3 linked regions of the Ovis aries genome follow. The protein of the gene in region 1 purifies or fractionates together with the protein of each later gene. This does not show direct contact. Links are inferred from orthologs where the notes say so. Each region holds a gene or a part of one and is shown in the gene's direction. Other genes may lie near its edges.

Region 1 (6,415 bases):
AACAACTTATCAGGAAATACTGCAACAGATGAAACTATTTCCAAATTAGTAAACCCTTGTAAATCCTTGTAAATGTCAACTAGGAGTCAATGAACTCCTTCTTTGTACATAAAGGGGGTTAATTTACACCTGAAACTCATTATCCCCAGAGACTGGTTTGGATTGCAAATATAACCATGCTTAAGCAAGGTTGATTTCAGGCTTGTTGGGGAAGCAGGCAGGTTGGGGATGAAGAGTTAAGAGCTATAACCCAGATCAGATGAAGAAAGCAACACCTCACTGTTCGGCCAAGTGCTTCCTCCTTCTTCCTTGGGATCTGCCTGCCTTCCACCTTCCTCCAAGGCTTCTCCTTGCCCCTCCTAATGGCTGTCTCACTCTGAGGCAGGAAAAGAAATCTGGTCGGTGGCTGACTTATGTATGATTCTGAGGGGAGAGCAAGCCTCCAGGCAAATGATACAGACTGTAACCTGAGGGAAAAGTTCACTTAGTTTACAGCCACTTAGCTCCTGGGTGGCCTGGTTGAGGTGCTGGGATCAGCTGAGACTAGTAATGGGTGTTTGAGAATTCCTGCAGGAGGTAACTTGCTGGGGCTGTAAAAGGCGCGGATCCCTAGCCACAGGGCACCTGAGACTAGGAAACATAGGACTTCAGGCTGGATATCCCTCTGGGAATCAGGAGAAAGATCTCAAAGTTCCAGCAGGGGGCGCTCCCCCAGGACCACTTCATAGCCAGTCAAGATGCAGCTCTGCTTTAACCTGGAAAATTATACGGAGGGACTTGGGCTGGGAGGGCCGATCTGGGGATCTGATGATTGGAAGTGGACCAGGAAGCAAGGGCTTAATTCCAGAAATAAGGCAAAGCTGAAGTTCTGAAAAGCAGCAGGAGACAAGAGGACTGGATAATTCGCTCAGTAGACTTTGGGCTACTTAGATACCGGCTCACCGAGTCCCTGAGACTGAGATGGGGCAGAGCCTACAAATGATGCTCAGGTGGTTCCCGTTGCTGGGTGGGCAGTAGGTCGGGAGCAGGAGCTTGCGGGGAGCTTTGCCCAAGGTGCCCTCTCTGGTCCGGAGTCCATTTCCTGTTCTGCATCCACCTCCACGGCTGGAAGGTCTTGACCACCTCCTCACTCCTCTGTTGGACGCATGGTTTTGGACTCTTACTTCAGGAATATCTTCCCACAGATGTCGAGAGATACAGGCCATGGCCCTTCCCCTGACAGTTTAGATAAATCTTGAGTGTTCCCTGATGTGTAGGTCAAGAGCAGCTGGGCGTTTTCTGGAAGCGTTGGCCGTCCCTATTTCTAACAGGCTTACCAGCATTGTCCTAGGATCATTTCCCTCTTGTTCCCAATCTTCATATCCAATGAACGTTTGAGAACAATTATCTCACCTTCTTTGTTTTTTGCCTTGGTCTCCCTCCCCAACCACCACCTCAGAACCCAACTCAAAAATCCCTCTCCTTTTCCTGCGTTTTTCAGATTCATTTTGTGTCTCTGGAGCCTCTGTGCTCTTTCCATGTCCACTTTGAAATCTTGGGTTTTTAACTTCTCTTACCGCCTATAAAATTTACCGCATTTGTTCTTTCAGTCATTTATTCCCTAATAAGTTAGTGAGAGCTCGTTTCACAGCACCGGAGGGCATGATGTAATTACTTCTAACACAGACTCTGAGATCAGAATATACACAGCTAATTAAAGTTTCCCTCTTGAGTCCCAGGTAAGAATTTCCTCTAGCAAATGCTTTTTTTTTTTTTTTTTTTTTTTGAAACATGGACTTAAGAACGCCTGAAATTGTTTAAAATCCTGTACCTTATAAAATAAAGTTCTAATGAGCCTGTCTTTTTTTTTTTTTTTAACAGATCCTTGGTTTGAGTGTGGATAAAGCAGTTATCACAAAATCATCTGAGAAATAAAAGAAATCTTGATTTAACATGAAAACCTTTCCATTCTGTAAGTGAACTCATTTGACCTAGATCTATCCTTTAAAGGGCAAGTGGCTGTAAGAAATTCTAAGGTTGTTCTCAGAATTCTAAGACAATTGGTAAATATTGATATAAAAAGTTGGGTTCATTAGCGACCCCGATTTGATTTTCCTGAAAATTGGCCAGACAGAAAGTTCTCGCTTTTATGCACCTTCATTGTTACTCTCCATAGCAACTGAAAACTTTTCTGGGCTGAAATAATCCTCTCTAGCTCCCAGCGCACAGTCAAGGAATTTTAAAAACAGAGGACTTTGTAACCACGAAATACCCTCCAAGATTTAAAAGGCCACAGAGCTCCAGATAAATAATCATTTATCTTTCTTCTGAAGGTAAGCACTGGGTTTAGAAATGTTTGTATCATCCTCTGTCATTTTTTAAATGCTAACATAAGAATCTTAAACTTGCTCTCTCTTTTTAAACCATAAAAGTAATCCTAGTATTTTTGTTACTACCCCACAGCCATTTTAGCTCATCTCTGAGCCAAGGTCTGCCATGAGATGCTGTTAACATTTTGCATTCCTTAAGCAATCGGTTGAAGAGATTAATATTTTTTTTCCAGAAAGCTGATTGGCTCTCAAGTCGTCCTTTTCACTTCTGTAGTAAGCCCCAAATATGTGGATTTATCATGCTTCACGTGGACTTGAAACTCTCTTGTTTTTCTAAGATAGTTCGTACTTTTAATCAGCTGAAAACTAACCAGTAGTTCTGCACATTACTGTTTTCGTCCTTTCCTTTTTGAAAATCTTCTAACTCAGTGTGATATCTGTAATGTATTCAATTTATTTTCTGTTTACTTTTATTGACTTACTTTACTAAAGAGGCCCATAGATCAATGGGTTAAAATGAGGCTGTTTCCTGTTGGAGGTGTGGAGAGATAAAGAGTTTGGGATTAACATATATACACTACTGTACATACCGTAGGTAAACAACAAGAATTCCTACTATATAGCATAGGAAACTATAGTCAATATCTTATAATAACCTAAAATAAGAATCTGAAAAAATGTATATGTATAACTGACTCGCTTCCCTGTACACTTGCAACTAATACAGCGTTGTAAATCACCTATACCTCAATTTAAAAATGGAGAGTGTTTCCTGCTCTTTTTAAAAAATTGAAGTATAGTTGCTATGCAATGTGTTAGTTTCTGCTTTACAACAAAGTGAATCAGCTGTAAGTATAGATATATTCCCTTCCCTCTTGAGCCTCCTTCCCTCAGCCCGCTTCCCCACCCACCCATCTAGATCATCACAGAGCACTGAGCTGAGCTCTGTGTGCTATATCACAGCTTCCCACTAGTTATCTTTTCATACATCTGGGTTTTATGACTTGTAGCACCGTTAGGACAGACAGTGAAGTGTATTCTTCCTATCTTTTGACTCTCTGTGTAGTTCCCAGAGAAGCAATATAACTCACTTCTTGGCTGTTGAACGGGTTGAAAGTCTAAACCCACCATAGTTTCCTGCCAGTGGGGGTTAGGAACAACCTACAGATCCCCTGTTGTTTAGAAACAGCTTGTCATTGCCAATCTGCTTAGCCACCCAGTTAATGAATCTTTTCAAACCTCTTGCAAGCACAATAATTAAAGCCTTCATTTTCCCCCTTTCCACTGACATTCCTCCAGCTACAAGTTGACACCGTGAACACCAACCCATCCTCCTCCATCAAAGCAGACTTGGGGTAGAGGAAGAGTGGAAATGTGCTTCTGGACAAAGCCTTCTGTATCCTGGGTGCCCTTGTTCCTTCTACTCAGCCTTGATCCCTCTACTGAGACGGAAAAACCCTCTACTCCGGACAGCAGCAGTACTTGGAGTCCAGGGCGGCTGACAGAAGTTCTACGGGTTCTCTCTGCTGATGACCCCCGTCCCCTGAACCACTCAAGAAGCCTCATCAGAACATTGCTGGAGAAAACTGGGTGCCCACGGAGGACAGACGGAAGGCAAGGAGACTGCAATCTGGTTAGTGTGATAGAATGGGATCAGGGACTGAGCGTGTTCACAAGAGCCATGCATTTCCCAGGCACTTATTTCAAGAAAGCAAAATCAGACGCAAACCTTCCAATATCTGAGTGACCAATGCATTACGGTATAATAACTCCCATATACCAGATCATACAGTATTCTGCATATGGCATTTAAAGACATGGAGAGCTTGTTTATATTAAAATGATAATAAGCCTTCTATAAGCCTTGCTACAACCCTTCTGCAGGCTTAGAAGTATAGTTCCCTCTTCTTTCTGACTTAATCCTTTTTATTGCAGTCACCTTGAATGTGATTGGTTATATAGATGCTGCTTGTTTTCTGAGGTAAATCCATCCACTATTTGCCTAACATTGCATTTTTAAGTACTTTCTCCTCAATATCAGTAGGTGTGTTTTAAGATTTTATATCATGGGGATTTAATGAATTGGATGATTGTCTTCTTAAAAATGGGAATCTGAGCTGGGGAAGGGAAGTGCTATCAGCGGGGCTGAAATGAGATCCAGGGTCACAGAGGCCCATTTTCCAGCCATTTCCTAGTCTATTAAGTGACTCTCAAACCCTGGCTATCCATCAGCATCACCTGGCCAGGCTTCACAAAATACCCAGGTTGCAATTTTCTTCTCCAAACATCAATATTTCACTTGCCCAGGAATGTTTAAAAACAATCTCTGCAAGGCACATTAATGTAAAATCAGAATTAATGTAAAAATCAACATTTAATGTAAAATCAGAATGCCTCCATTGGGAGAAAGGGAGTTTGACAAGAACATCCCCAGCAGTAAGAGCCTATGTTTTAAAAATGACCGCAGGGATTTCTCTGGTGGTCCAGTAGCTAAGAATCCGAGTTCCCAATGCAGGGGGCCTGGGTTTGACCCCTGGTCAGGGAACTAGATCCCACATGCCTCAACTCTTTGCTGCAACTAAAGATCCTGCATGCCACCACTATAGACCCAGCACAGCCAAATAAATAAAACATTTTTTTAAAAAAAGACTGCAAAAAGCAGACCAAAGCATTCGCAGCATCCTTTTCCTGACTGATTAGATTTTTTTCAGAATGACCTCACAAATAAGTAAGTAAATAAATGAAGACATGACTAAACAAGAGAAGCAAAATCATTTCCACCCAGAATAAGTTTTGGCAGATTTTCTCAATCACACTTAGTTCTGAGGGAAACATTTCCTGGCCAAGTGTTTTGTTTTTTGTTTTTCATGACAGAAGGGTCTGGCTAACAGAATTTTTCTCTGCTCTGTGCAAACAATAAATAATTCAATAATTAGTAAAACTCCCAAGGGTTCCCAGAGAAAACATGTGTTGTGAGAGGCAGCTCATCTGTGATGACATTAATTTATATATATAGCAACAGAAGACTTCCCACCGGAAATAACTAGGAGTCATATCTTATTAATGTCCTCTGAGAATTTGCTTCAGAGAAATGTTCTCCTCTAACAACATGAAGTGCCTTATTAAGGCTGGTCGAGTATTAGTTTAGCAGGGTAAGGGGAGGATGTAAACAGGCAAGACTGTTCTCCATTTTTGGAGGGGGGTGGAATAGGTTGTTTTGTACATTTTTGTTTTGTTTTGTTTTCTGTGATATTAACAGGTGTTTGGCCAATTTAGCTTCTGTTTGAATTAATTCTTATTCCTAGGAAGTGAAACACTGTAACACCTTTCCTCTCCTGCTGCTGCTATTTCTTTTTCTAAGAGACTAAAGTTGGGGGAAGAAAAGAGGCAAATCTCTGCTTCACCTCCTCAGAAGGATCTAGTTTACCCAAACACCCATGATCTAAGCAAGGAGTCCATGAAATCTGTGTTCATTCACACACATAAAAAAAACAAACTCCCTGATTTAGCAAATATCCACATTCTGTGCAAATCACAAATCTTCATCTTGTTATTGAATTTTTTTTTTTAATCTTTTTAGGGAGTTTATCCATTGAGAGGGTGCCTATCAGAAGGAGAGGGCAAGGGGATGAGATCATGTCCTTAAATGTCTAAAAAAAGAGATCAGAGTGTATCTTGAATGTGTGGGGAGGAAATCAGTTCCATTTTATTTCAGATCTTGGTAAAAACTGAATTTTTTAAAAAAAACTGAAGTTTTTGAGAGTACTGTGTTTTAAAATAAATCCATTCAAGCTGCTGTCTTTGAAAAATAGACACTCTTGCCTGATTGTGGCTTTTTTTTCTTTTAATGAGAAGAGTGAGAACAGGGTCTTAATACATTCAATGAGGGATTAAGTAACTCCAAAAGAATGGATTGCACTTAAGTAATGATGAGAACCGTGACCCTGCTTGGGTTTCAGGCATGGTAAAGGGAAAAGAATCTGGTTTAAAGTCAACATTAGGAGCATACCCCTTGTTCTGGTACCTTCTAGCTGTTAAGTCACCGAGGTGCTGATTCCCTCCCCCAGGGGCTGCTGGTGAGATCACATGTCCATCTGTGAATGTAT
Region 2 (6,183 bases), on another chromosome or scaffold:
GTGCACACGGGCGAGAGGCCCTTCCGCTGCCCGCTCTGCCCCAAGACCTTCACGCACTCCTCCAACCTGCTGCTGCACCAGCGCACGCACTCGGCCGAGCGGCCCTTCACCTGCCCGGTCTGCGGCCGCAGCTTCGTCATGGCTGCCTACCTGCAGCGGCACCTGAGGACGCATGCCCCCGCGGCCCCCGCGGCCGGCCCTCAGCCCCCGGCCCCGCTGGCCGCCGCCCCTGCCCCGTCGGCCACCCAGGATGTGCACGTCCTCCCCCACCTCCAGGCCACGCTCTCCCTAGAGGTGGCTGGGGGGACGGCCCCGGCCGCGGCCCCCGGCCCCGCCGCTCCCAACTCGCAGACTTTTCTCCTGGTGCAGACGGCTCAGGGCCTGCAGCTGATTCCCAGCAGCGTCCAGCCGCCCACGCCCCCGCCCCCGCCAGCACCCCCCAAGCTCATCCTGCTGCCCTCCTCCGGCCCCGCCGGGGGAGGCAGCTGCGCCCGGCAAGGCCCGCGGGCCGCGGGGAAAGCTGGGCCGGGGGCTGGAGTAGTCTGGCTGCCGGGCCCTGGGGGGTTAGGAGTGCAGAGAGGAAGCAACGCTGCGGGGAACGTGGGAGGGCAGAGCCTCATAGTTCTGCAGAACGTGGCGGGTGGGGAAACAGGCCCACAGGAAGTGAGTGGGGTTCAGCTCCAGCCCCTTCGTCCAGCCCCGGAACTGACCACCGTCCAACTCCAGCCGGCCCAGGAGGTGACCACGGTCCAGCTCCAGCCTGTGACGGGTCCGCTGTCCAGTTCCAGCGGGGGAGCCGTGACCACCGAGGCGCCTAATCTGCTAGTGGTTCAGAGCGGGGCAGCTGAGGAGTTACTGGCGGACCCCGGCCCAGTGGAGCCTGGCGAGGGCGAGGCCGGCCCGGGGGTAGTCCCAGATGTGCTCTTTGAGACGCTGCAGACGGAGGAGGGACTGCAGAGCGTGCTGGTGCTGAGCGGGGCCGACGGGGAGCAGACCCAGCTGTGTGTGCAGGAGGTAGAGACCTTACCGTCGGGTCTGGCCGAGCCGCCCGCCTCAGGCCCGCCCGGACAGAAGCTGCTCATTATCCGCAGCGCCCCAGCCGCAGAGTTGCTGGAGAACGGCAGCGCTGGGGGAGGCGCCGCTGCGCTGCAGCTACTGGCGCCCCCCCCACCTGGCCCAGCCTCTGCTCCTGCGGGCGTCCCTGCGGCCCCGGGCCCCCAGATGGTACAAGTGGTCCCCGCAGGAGCGGCACCCGGGGGCGTGGCCCCACAGGGCCTGCCTTCCATCCAGATTGTCCAGACTCTGCCCGCGGTCCAGCTGGTGCACACGTTTTGAGTCGGACCACGGGTATCTCTTCCCGCCCCACGAAGAGGCCCCCACCCCATCGCCGCCTGGGCTGGGCTGGGCGGAGGGAGCTGCAGGCTGGGCTTGCAAATAAAGACCAGAATCCCCTCTCGTGTTTTTTCTTCTTATTGATGGGGTGGGAGGTCAATGTCATGCCCATAGCCACCACTTGGGAACTGGTGGGGTCCCCTGCTTCCTGGTTCGCAGGTGACTTTGCGTCTTGGGGCCAGCCGCTGCTCCTTTGTGGGGGCCCTGTTTATCCATTTTTTAAGAAAAGGGACGCAACAGTCACGGTATGGGGGAGGCGCTGGAATCTGGAACCCCGGTTCTGCCACTTCCTCTGTAAGTCACTGCACCCCTCCTCGTGCAGAAAAATAGGTGGATGGCGGGACTGCTTATCCCAACGGTCACTGAGAGCCCTGGTGGGCAGGTGGGGAACCTGTGGGTCTGAGACGCTGTCGCGGCCCCGCCCGCGAAAGCCGGGGAGCCAGTGGGAATCAAGCCGCCTTCGCGGCCTCACCCCCGCGCTCAGGTCGCTTAGCAACCAGAGGCCTTCGGGAAGCCGGCCGGGGCGCGCGCTGGGTAAGCCCCGCTGCCCGCCCACAGCCGGTCTATAGTTCCAGGCCCTTCAGTCCGGCCCCCTCCCCTGCCAGCGTCCCGCACGCCAGCTCTCTCCGCCGCTCCTCCCGGCTCTAACCCGTCAGGCCGGACGCTTGGCAACGGTTGCTAAGGCCGAGAGCAGGCACCGCCCCGCTCCCAGCGCGCGGGTCTGACGTCACTTCCGCCGGCGACCCCTCCCCGACCCTGCCACCCCCCGCATCTTGTTAAAAGCCGGAGCGACCCACAGAGGTGTCTGAAAGTCCTCGTTCCTGCCACAGGCGCCGCTCGGGGGCGGCCGGGGGCAGAGGCCCTGGGAGCGGGGAGCGCGGTCCTTTCCCTGGCTGGGGGGGGTTCACTTACCCCCAGGGCAGCTGCGGGGCCTGGAGGCAGCGCGCTGTTGGCAGGTGTTGGCGGGCACCAGGCTTTTAGGCGTGGGTCGCCGAATACCGCCTGGGGCGAGGGCTTCACCCGAGAGGCTTTCGGAAGGTCGCTGGGTTGACCGGGAAGCCTGTTCTGTCTCGGGCCTCGCCTGGAGGCCGCCAGCATCCCGCTTCCTGACCTGGACACGCTGCCGCTGCTGGCCCGCAGCTCTGGGGCACTTTGGGGAACAAGAGGTGCCCTCCTGACACTGACCTGCTTGTTTTCGCCAGGTGCACGCCTGCTCCTTTGGGGGCGCGGGAGCCTGGGGGCTGCCATGGCCCCCAGCCACCTGTCGGTGCGGGAGATGAGGGAAGATGAAAAACCCTTAGTGCTGGAAATGCTGAAGGTGAGAGTCATTAGCAGCGCCACTGAGCCCGGGGGCGTGGGACGGAGGGTACCACTTGGGGGTGGGGGGCGGGAACCTAGAAAGCCCGGGAGGGGCGGGGACAGAATGGGGACACCAATGAGCTTGGGAGGGCGGGGACAGAATGAGGGGCACCAGGGAGCCCGGGAGGGGGCGGGGGGGCATCCCGAGTGGCTTCAGCCACCCTCCTGAGCCAGCGGTGACCCTGGAAATCAATCTTTTGCTCCTAAGGCACTTCCAGCCTTGGACCCTCCTCTTTCTAGTGCCTTCTCCCTAACCTGGAGATTGAGAACGGTTTTGGGTGTGTGTGTGTGGCCACGCCACATGGTACGCGGGATGGTAGTGCTCCCCGATCATGGATCCAAGCCGTAACCCGCGCAGTACAAGCCCTTCCATCTCCTCACTTCCCCTCAGCCCTGTGCCCCGGCCTCCTCCTCCTCCAAGCCTGGCCCTCGAGGACCCCCAGGCCCTTCCAGCTTCCCCGCTCGGTGGGGCCGCGCCTCTGTCCAGTCTCCCCTGTTGCCTCACGCCTGCAACTCCACTGAACCCGGAGCGCCCACCGTTCCTAATTCACCAGCTCCCTCATTCAGAGCCCAGTGTGCCAGCCAGCAGTGTGTTCACGCCACGGCAAGCTTGCCACAGGCCCCGGCTCACTGCTGTCCCCTCCCCTCCGATTGCTCCCACCCCAGGCAGGGCCTGCCTCCGCCCCCACTGCCTGCCTCCCCCACGCTGACTGCTCCTCCTGCCCGCAGGCTGGCGTGAAGGACACAGAGAACCGCGTGGCCCTTCATGCACTGACCCGGCCGCCGGCCCTGCTCCTCCTGGCTGCGGCCAGCAGCGGCCTTCGCTTCGTCCTGGCCTCCTTCGCCCTGGCCCTCCTCCTGCCCGTGTTCCTGGCTGTGGCGGCCATGAAGCTGGGCCTGCGGGCCCGCTGGGGCTCGCTGCCCCCGCCCGGCGGCCTCGGGGGGCCGTGGGTGGCAGTCCGGGGCTCGGGGGACGTGTGTGGGGTCCTGGCCCTGGCCCCAGGCACCGGTGCTGGGGATGGGGCCCGGGTCACCCGCCTCTCGGTATCCCGTTGGCACCGCCGCCGAGGCGTAGGCAGGCGCCTGCTGGCCTTTGCCGAGTCCCGGGCGCGAGCCTGGGCTGGCGGCATGGGGGAACCCCGGGCGCGCCTGGTGGTCCCGGTGGCCGTGGCAGCCTGGGGCGTGGCCGGGATGCTGGAGGGCTGTGGCTACCAGGCCGAGCGGAGCTGGGGCTGCATGGGCTACACGCTGGTGCGCGAGTTCAGCAAGGAACTGTGACTGCAGACCCTAGCAGGAGGAAAAGCAGCACTTAGTGAGCACCTGCTGTGTGCAGGCACTTCCACACCATCCTTACCCCCCCCCCCCCCCGCCAGGGCCCAGCAGCTGAGGCCCGCAGAGGGCAAGAGACCCTGCCACAGCCTGATGCCCATCCATAGTGTTTGAACTTCTTAGAGAGTTCAACCCGTCCAACCCCTGCCTCAGATTCTGTCTGCGCAGAGAAATCTTATCTGTCTGTCTGCCAAGCCTGTGTTGCTTGTGCTATGACATGTGGCAGGAGAGGAGGCCGAGCAAGTACGCCCCCCACTGGGGTTAGGACTTGGCAGGGGTACCCCAAACAGGGACGAGGGCCCCCCTCAGCCCCGGGGAGGTAGGGTGGGGGGCGATGCCCATGCTTGGAAGGGGTGAGGCTGCAGAGGCAGAGAGGGGCTGAGCAAAGCTTCTGCAGGGGAGTGTTGTCTGCCTGGAGAGAGCCCCGGGGAGGGGGTGGTGGGCACAGGGCTGCCTGCCCAGCCCCTCCCCAGGAAGGTGGGAGCCCAGAGGGGCGGCCAGACCCATCTGGTTTTTTACACCCGTTTGTTAATAAAGCCTGTAACCGCTGCTCGCCATCTCTCTCTGATGCCTTTTCCAGTCTGCCTCCACACCCACCATTTCTGTCTGGCCCCTCCTTCCCGAGGTTGACAGTAATTGTCGGGAGGGGGGAGTGTGCTGGACTGGGGGCAGGGGAGGCGATGAGCTCAGGCAGCCCAGCTCCCTGCCAGCCCTCTGACTCACGCTCCCCATTACCGAATTTTTTCCGCCTCACAGCTGCTTAGTGCAGAGAGAGAGAGAGAAAGAGTACGTTCCTGTGCGTGTGTGTGTGTGTTGTGTGTGTGTGTGTGTGTGTGTGCAGTCGTCCTCCCCCACCCAAGTCTTGACCCTTGGCCCTCTCGACCCCTGACCCCAGTTTTCTTGGGAGACACACAGAGGGCTGATGACTTCTGCCTGCAAATCCACCAGGGGGAATGGAGAAGGGAGTCTCTCTGTCTCCTTTCCCAGTCCAGGAAGTCCTTCCTGGTGTCTGCCTGCAAGCCCTCTTGCTGCACCAGGTCCCCAACCCGGCAGCTGATGTGAGCCCACCCTCAAAGCCCTCTGCTTCCGGCACACCACCCTGGCGGGACAGGAGAAGCAGCAGATGGGTGGGCGCCCCGCCCTCGCACCCTGTCAGGATCCTCCCCTGCAGCCTGCTGCCCCCCAAGCCTGAGTGCGGCACTTCTGGCCAGCCGGCTGTCTCCTGTGTGGGTGTCTGCAGTTGGACACCCTCCCTCCCGCCCTCCACCGCCCTCCTCCACAGGCCTCAGCCGCCGGCCAGCCCCCTCCCCGCCCCGCTCCTGTCCCCTGCTGCCTCCTCGGCAGCCTCTCTTCCTCCTGCAGAGCGTCCAGCCCCCGCCCGCTCCTCCCCGGGTCCAGGGCTCCTCTGGCAGGCGCTCCCCTCCCTCCTGCGTCGGCGGTCCCCTCCTCCTAGCTCCTGCTCCCGTCCACTTCCACCCTGTCCCCACCCTGACTCTGCAAACATGAGGGTCCTGGCCTGCCTCCTCGGTGAGTGACCCTTCCCCTCCTCCGGGACTCAGGGTCCCCGGGCCGGGCCCTCTGACCCCTGAGCTGACCCACTGCAGAGCCTCTGAGTTCCAGGGCCCCGTCCCTGTTGCTTGGTGGGGGGGATGTGGGGGAGCACAGGACATCTGGCTGCCTCTGACTGATCCTCCAGGGACCTGGCCTCAGGCACCCTGAGTCCCACCTTCTCAGGAGACCCCAGGACTTCCTCTCCCCTCCATGAGCCCTGACCCTGCAGAGGGGGTTCACCCATCATTCACCTTTAGCCAGGCCCCCAGTGGGGAGAGCCAAGGGCCTGGCCCCCTGCCCAGACCTGAGGCCTCCGGGCTCCACCCATCCCAAGGACCTGGGCCTCGGCCAGGCGCTGGGCCCAAGTCCTCCTTCCCGGCGGCGGGGTTTCTGGTTCAGAGGAGCGAGGACCTCACTGCCTCACCCCTCCAACCTCCCTTCCAGTGGCTTTGATGGGGACCCAGGCTGTTGGTAAGTGGCCCCAAACACGTCTCCCATCTGGGTGCGCTCAGCTCCAAGCCTTCCCCACGCCCGGCCTGGGCTCACCCTCCC
Region 3 (6,426 bases), about 11 Mb from region 1:
CAGGGTATTCCCTGAGTGACCTGGGAACCCTCTCAAGCCCACGACCCCTGGAAAGCAGGGTAGACCCTGGTTACCTCCTATCCCCAGGGCATGGTCCAGCCGGAGCTGAACACAACTAGATGGGTCTCAGACAGGATTTGTCCTGAGACTGCCTTGGTATTATTTCATCATCAACAATCTTGTTTTCATTTTTTAAATTTTTTATTTTGTATTGGGGTATACCTGAATAACAATGTTGTGATAGTTTTAGGTGAACAGTGAAGAGACTCAGCCATACATATACATGGACCCAATCTTCCCCAAACCCCCGCTCCCATCCAGGCTGCCACATAACACAGAGCAAAGATCCCTGTGCTATACAGTATGTCCTTATTGGGACAGCTAGGGCATTTGAGATGGTCATGTACACACTGGTATATTTAAAATGTTTCGGTTTTTTATTTCTGTAATGTAGTAATGAGAGCGAATGAAAAATCAAGAGGGAGAAACTTGGATGAATGAAGGCTGGAATCCTAAAGAAGGGGCTTCGTAGAGGGAATGACTCCAGGGAAGAAGGGACTTGCGAAAGCCAGCAAGGTGAGAACAGTCAAAAATGTCTCTTTGTAACTGCACTTCCTGAGCCCACAGTCAAATGAAACTTGCCCTTGTGATAGTTGTTTGGGGAGGCTGTTTCTTTATCCACAGTTCAGTTCAGTTCAGAGATCTCTAGTCTTTCCCATTCTATCATTTTCTTCTATTTCTTTGCATTGATCGCTGAGGAAGGCTTTCTTATCTCTCCTTGCTATTCTTTTTCCACAGAACTGTTTTAAAAGAGGTAATATGCCTCCACTATCTTTAGACCAACTTACTAGCAGCAGAAGAAAATGTCTTGTGCTTAGTCACAGCCAAAGCGCAAACCTCAAAACTCCTATAAGGAGGCCTATTCCCCCACGCCAGTGGGCAAGATGTACTTTATTAAGCTATATGGCTGTCTGATGCAATTCTTTTTTATATAAAATCAGGGATTCCTTGTGGATTCATTCAGGAATTTCATTATGTTATGAACCTTCAGGTGTTCAAACCTCTAAGCAAATGGACAGACATAGTGAGGACTGAAAACCATGTGGATCTATTAACAGAATGCAATTGCTTCGTGTGATGGTTACAGGTGTGGTGTTGGAGAACTCTTGACAGTCCCTTGGACTGCAAGAAGATCAAACCAGTCAATCCTAAAGGAAATCAGTCCTGAATATTCATTGGAAGGACTGATGCTGAAGCTGAAACTCCAAAACTTTGGCCACCTGATGTGAAGAACTGACTCATTGGAAAAGACCCTGATGCTGGGAAAGACTGAAGGCAGGAGGAGAAGGGGACGACAGAGGCTGAGATGATTGGATGGCATCACCAACTCAATGGGTGTGAGTTTGAGCAAGCTTTGGGAGTTGGTGACGGACAGGGAAGCCTGGTGTGTCCATGGGGTCCCAAAGAGTCAGACATGACTGAGGGACTGAACTGAACTGATGGACTAAAGGTGAGCACTGTGCCTGTGGAGGTGGTCATGTGATAAACCACACAGAGCAAGCCACATACTTACCTGTGCTCACCTGTATAACTGTGAAATCTGAGTAAGTGTCCTGATTGTAGCAATGTCAGTTTCTTCTTTTTATTACTGTACACCCCCTGTAAGATGTTAACTTTGGGGCAAGACTGGGGGAGGGTGCATGGGACTCCCCACTTGTCTTTGGAAATTTCTGAGAAGCTATAACTAGGAATTTCAAAACGGAAAGTTAAAAAGTGTCATGGGTGCAGTAATCATTTAGCTACATGTTTCCAGAACATCCCGTCTGGGGCCCATGCAACACGCAGTACCTACAGGCAAGTCGTAGTTTGAGTCTGTTCTATCTCAGCATGCTCCTTACTGCTCTCTGCTCTATCACGGGAGGCAGTCTGGAACAGGAGGCTGCAACAGTTAACCTCACAAGGGCAGCAACGATGCTCTGCTCTGTAGGGGAAGGCTGACCGGCTACGGTGTGGAGGCCGACCAAGAGTGGGAATCTGCCATCAGCGGGGAGGGGTGGGGGCCCTCTGCAAGGCCCACCACTTACCAGTCGGCCTTCTTCAGGCAGTCGACCGCGGCCCCCCGGCCCAGCAGGTACCGCACGCAGTCCCGGTGGCCCATGGAGGCAGCCTCATGCAGAGGCCGCTTGTAGTCCCGGTTGGCGGCTTCGATGTCCAGGTCCCAGGTCTCGACCAGATAGGCCAAGACGTCCCGGCGGCCGTGGCGGGCGGCGCAGTGCAGGAGGGTGTCCCCGGCCGGCCCCGCGCAGCCCGCGTGCCCAGCCGCCCGCAGCTCCCTGCGCAGGGTGCACAGCCGGCCGTCCTGCACCAGCCGGAACAGCCGCCGCGGGTCAGCGGGCCCGGCCATGGCCGCAGGCTCAGGCTCGCCGAGGACAGCCCAGGACCCTCCTCCGGGCCCGCCCCGCCTCCGCCGGGGCCCGCCTTCGAGATCCTCCCCTGGGACCCTCTAGCCCCCGGGGACCCTCTTCCGGATGCACCCAGCCCCCAAGACTCTCAGGTCTCTGGCTGACCACGCGCCCCGCAAGCCGCCGCGGACGCCGCCGCCCGCGCTGGTTTCATTTTGGGGCGAACCCTCTGGACTGCCGCCGAAGGCCCGGGTCACACGCGACTCCGGCCCTTCCGGGACGGGGTGGGACCCGCGCGTCCCCGCCCACGATCCCGCCCCCTGCAGGCAACTCCGCCCACAACCTCGACCCCGCCCACCCCCGCCGGCCGCGGCCCCTCCGCCGGTCCCAGAGCCTCGAGGAACTCTGGGAAAGTTTCTGCTCGCCTCTTCCGCGCTAGCGGAAGCTCTGACTAGAAGAGGCCCGCTAGCGGGGTAAGGGGAGAGTGAGGGTGCGCATTCCGATTGGCCGCTGGAGTCGACCCCTCCGAATGCGCGCTATGATTTTCCGGGGATGCGTTCTATCAGTGTCGCCGGCGGGCTCTTCTCCTGCCGGCTGCGGCGGTGGCGGCGGAGGCGGAGCTGGTGAAGACTGTCTGCGGACTACTCAGGGGCTTGCTCTTCTCGGGGACGCCTGTTGTGCCCACGGCCCGGGGAAGCGCGGCCCGAAGCGGAGGACGGTTTGCGGCGGCGCTGCGCGCAGCCTGGAGCTCCGGACCAGAAAGTGGAGGACATTGGTCCGGACATCGTTCCTAGCTCTCCCTGCGGGCTCCTTGGGGCCCTGCCCCGAGCCGCACCCGCAGCCCGCTCACATTTTTGCCTTCCTGCGGGTGGAAGCACTGTCCCGGAACCTGAGCGTGTGTGCCTCTCTGGAGGAGGGTCGTCAGTGATCCGCTGGTCCGGAGCGCGCTCCTGTTCTCTGAAGTTCTCTCTAAAAGTGCCCGGCGCCGCCTCGCTTAACGCGTGCTCCTGACGGTGACCTTTCCTCAGAAATTTCCCTCAGAAAATATTTCCTCAGAAATGTTCTTGTCCCGTTGTCCTCCAGAATCAGATCCCAACCCCTGGAAGCATCTGAGACCTTTCTGTGCGCGTCTCAGCGTGTTGTTGATTTTCCCATCCATCCCTGTATTCTGTCCGCAGCAAACGATGTGCTGCCTCCAGGCTGTGGACCGTGTGATACCTTCCTTAGCTTGGTCTGATATGCACCCCACGTCCAACCAGCTCAAAGGGCCCCCTCATGTCTCTGTGGACGTCTCACCTCTCCTCTGCTCCATCCCGCGGACGTGACCCTGTCTCTCTTCCTTGTACCGCTATAGCGATTTATACCTCTGTGGGCTTCCCTCATAGCTCAGTTGGTAAAGAATCTGCCTGTAATCCAGGAGACCCCGGCTTGATCCCTGGGTTGGGAAGATCCCCTGGAGAAGGGATAGGCTACCCACTCCAGTATTCTTGGGCTTCCCTTGTGGCTCAGCTGGTAAAGAATCAGCCTGCAATACGGGAGACCTGGGTTCAATCCCTGGGTTGGGAAGATCCCCTGGAGAAGAGAAAGGCTACCGGCTCCAGTATTCTGGCCTGGAGAATTACACGGACTGTGTAGTCCATGGGGTCTCAAAGAGTCGGACACTACTGAATGACTTTCACGCCTGTCACGTTCTAGGTGTGGTCTTAGAGAGGTTTCCTCCTTCATTTGAGCTATTAGAGCATAGCTGGAGGGCTGGTTGTCCTGTTTGTGCATTCTCTATTGGATCTCACGATATTTTGTTGTTAAGTTGCTTCAGTCCTGTCCGACTCTTTGCGACCCTAAAGACTATAGCTCATCAGGCTCCTCTGTCCATGGGAATCTCCAGGTAAGAACACGAGTGGGTTACCATGCCCTCCACCAGGGGATCCCCACCCAGGGATCAAACCCGCATCTCTTCTGTCTCCTGCATTGGCAGGCAGACCACCTGGGAGGCCCAATATTTTACATATATTAATAAGAGGTGATTACTGAATGAGTATTGTGTGTAGTCTCAGGAGTACCTTCTGAGGATGACACAGAGGGCAGCCCCGTGCCCTCAGAAGGGATTTCCCAGTACTATTAGCCCACAGCCTGTTTTTCCCTTTGTCGTTATACTTACCAGGTTCACATTATACTTACCAGGTTCTCATGCCTAAAGGTTGTGAGAATGTTCTGCTTAACTTGTATGTCCCTTAGACCGGCCATTGGCAATAAGCCAGAGGTGAAGAATTTAACCTATTCTTCAAATGTATTGAAGTTTAAAACCTTAAAGATTGAGGGCAAGATGGGTATGTCAAGGCTCAGTACATTTCTCTTCCAAACCCAACACATTTTGGAGGAAATTTCACATCGCGCTTGCTCCATTCTTTGCTTGGGGTCTTGTCTCCTACATTCACAGAAATATTGTTCTGTTTTTAGTTGTGAACTTTGTTTTGGGTCAGTAAATTTACCCACTTAATTTAGATCTCTGATGGGAACGGGGATGCGTGAGGGTTCCCTCCACTCTGCTTGAGAAGATTTTGGGAACGTATCTCAGCTTATCTTTACCTCCTGAAATGTTAGAACAGTACTCTTTTTAAAGTATAAAGGAGATAGAGAAAGCTTCTGACATAGACATCAGAAGGGGGCAGAAAGAGTACCCGCTTGTTAGTGTTAGCAATGAAGTTAGATACTTTCCAATGAATCCAAAGAATGTCTGAAGGTTGTAAACACCTCACCAGACCTACTCCCATAATTTACATTTTAAGATAACAGAATTAGCCAGAAGATTTAATCCAGAGACTGTCCTCAGGCAGAATACATTGTTGTTATATAATCCTAAAGAATGTAGAGAAGGAAAAAAAGTTTGTCCTTTCTTCCTCCTTGAGAATTCCAGACCCCTCTCTCCTTGGGGACCCCTAGACTTCCTATCAACCTGCCTAGGAAATGACTCTCACTTTCAATGACCTTGTTACAGCTCTCATTTTATTTCTTGTGGTGTCTTTGTCTGGCTTCAGTATAAGGTTATGCTGGCTTCAGAATAAGTCTGGAAGTGTGCCCTCGTCTTCAGTTTTTTTTTGAAGAGTTATAGGGGGATTGATACTAGTTCTTTAAATGTTCAGTAAACTTTTTCAGTGAAGCAATATGTTTCTGGACTGTTCCTTTTGGGGAGGCTTTTGATGACTGATTCAGTCTCCTTACTCATTATTGGTCTGTTCCGATTTTCTGTATCTCCATGATTCAGTCTTGGTAGGTTGTGTGTTCCTAAGGATTTATGCATTTCTTCTAGGTTATCCGTTTGATTGGCCTTCAGTTGTTTGAAGTATTCTTACAACCGTTCTTATTTCTGTGACATCAGTTGTAACGTTTCCTTTTCATTTCTGATTTTAGTTATTCAGATCTTCCCTTTTTCCACTATATATCTAAGAGTTGTCAATTTTGTTTTTAAAAAATAAAATTTTTAGTTTTATTAATTTTTCCACATTTTTAAAATTTTCTATTTCATTTATTTCTGCTTGATAGTCTTTATTATTTCCTCCTTCCTGCTAGCTTTGGGTTTAGTTTGTTCTTTTTCTAGTTCTTTTAGGTGTAAAGTTAGCTTGCTGATGTGTGATATTTCTTATTTTTTAAAAATAAGTTTATTTATTTATGATTTGGCTGCACAGAGTCTTAGTTGCAGCACATGGGATCTAGCTCCCTGACCAGGGATTGAACCTTGGCCCCCTTCATTGAAAGCTTGGAGTCTTAGCCACTGGACCACCAGGGAAGTTGCTGTGATCTTTCTTATTTTTTAATGTAAGTGTTTATAGCTATTAACTGGTTAGCATTGCTTGCATTTCATCCCATATATTTTGGTATCTGTATTTTTATTTGTCTCAAGGTATTTTCTAATTTCTTTGTGATTTCCTTTTGACTCATTGGTTGCTTTAAAAAATGTTTTTGTTTTTAATTTTCACATATTTGTGAGTTTTCCAGCTTTCTTTCCACTACTGATTTCTTGTTTCAT

Evidence for each region.
Region 2: the proteins of SLC39A12 (region 1) and NAT14 purify together in Homo sapiens (co-immunoprecipitation; 3 studies listed by BioGRID and IntAct, counting the BioPlex papers as one, with this or other methods). This does not show direct contact. The link is inferred for Ovis aries from reciprocal best matches to the Homo sapiens genes SLC39A12 and NAT14.
Region 3: the proteins of SLC39A12 (region 1) and ABHD12 purify together in Homo sapiens (co-immunoprecipitation; 3 studies listed by BioGRID and IntAct, counting the BioPlex papers as one, with this or other methods). This does not show direct contact. The link is inferred for Ovis aries from reciprocal best matches to the Homo sapiens genes SLC39A12 and ABHD12.

Annotation. Positions count from the first base shown.
Region 1 is NC_056066.1:31,767,937-31,774,351, forward strand, and holds the start of SLC39A12 (zinc transporter ZIP12), read left to right. Parts: upstream 1-2,220; 5' UTR 2,221-2,312; intron 2,313-3,608; 5' UTR 3,609-3,681; coding exon 3,682-3,942; intron 3,943-6,415. UniProt on the Homo sapiens protein: Uniporter that promotes Zn(2+) import from the extracellular space to the cytoplasm across the cell membrane. The transport activity is temperature dependent. May play a role in neurulation and neurite extension.
Region 2 is NC_056067.1:62,803,046-62,809,228, reverse strand, and holds NAT14 (probable N-acetyltransferase 14), read left to right. Parts: upstream 1-2,121; 5' UTR 2,122-2,193; intron 2,194-2,594; 5' UTR 2,595-2,638; coding exon 2,639-2,710; intron 2,711-2,959; coding exon 2,960-3,055; intron 3,056-3,480; coding exon 3,481-4,029; 3' UTR 4,030-4,629; downstream 4,630-6,183. Other genes in the region: ZNF628 (zinc finger protein 628), read left to right, coding at 1-1,335; soluble scavenger receptor cysteine-rich domain-containing protein SSC5D, read left to right, coding at 5,583-5,607, 6,076-6,102. UniProt on the Homo sapiens protein: Probable acetyltransferase. May act as a transcription factor that regulates the expression of coproporphyrinogen oxidase by binding to a promoter regulatory element.
Region 3 is NC_056066.1:42,427,388-42,433,813, reverse strand, and holds the start of ABHD12 (lysophosphatidylserine lipase ABHD12), read left to right. Parts: upstream 1-2,995; 5' UTR 2,996-6,426. Other genes in the region: ANKRD16 (ankyrin repeat domain-containing protein 16), read right to left, coding at 2,085-2,404.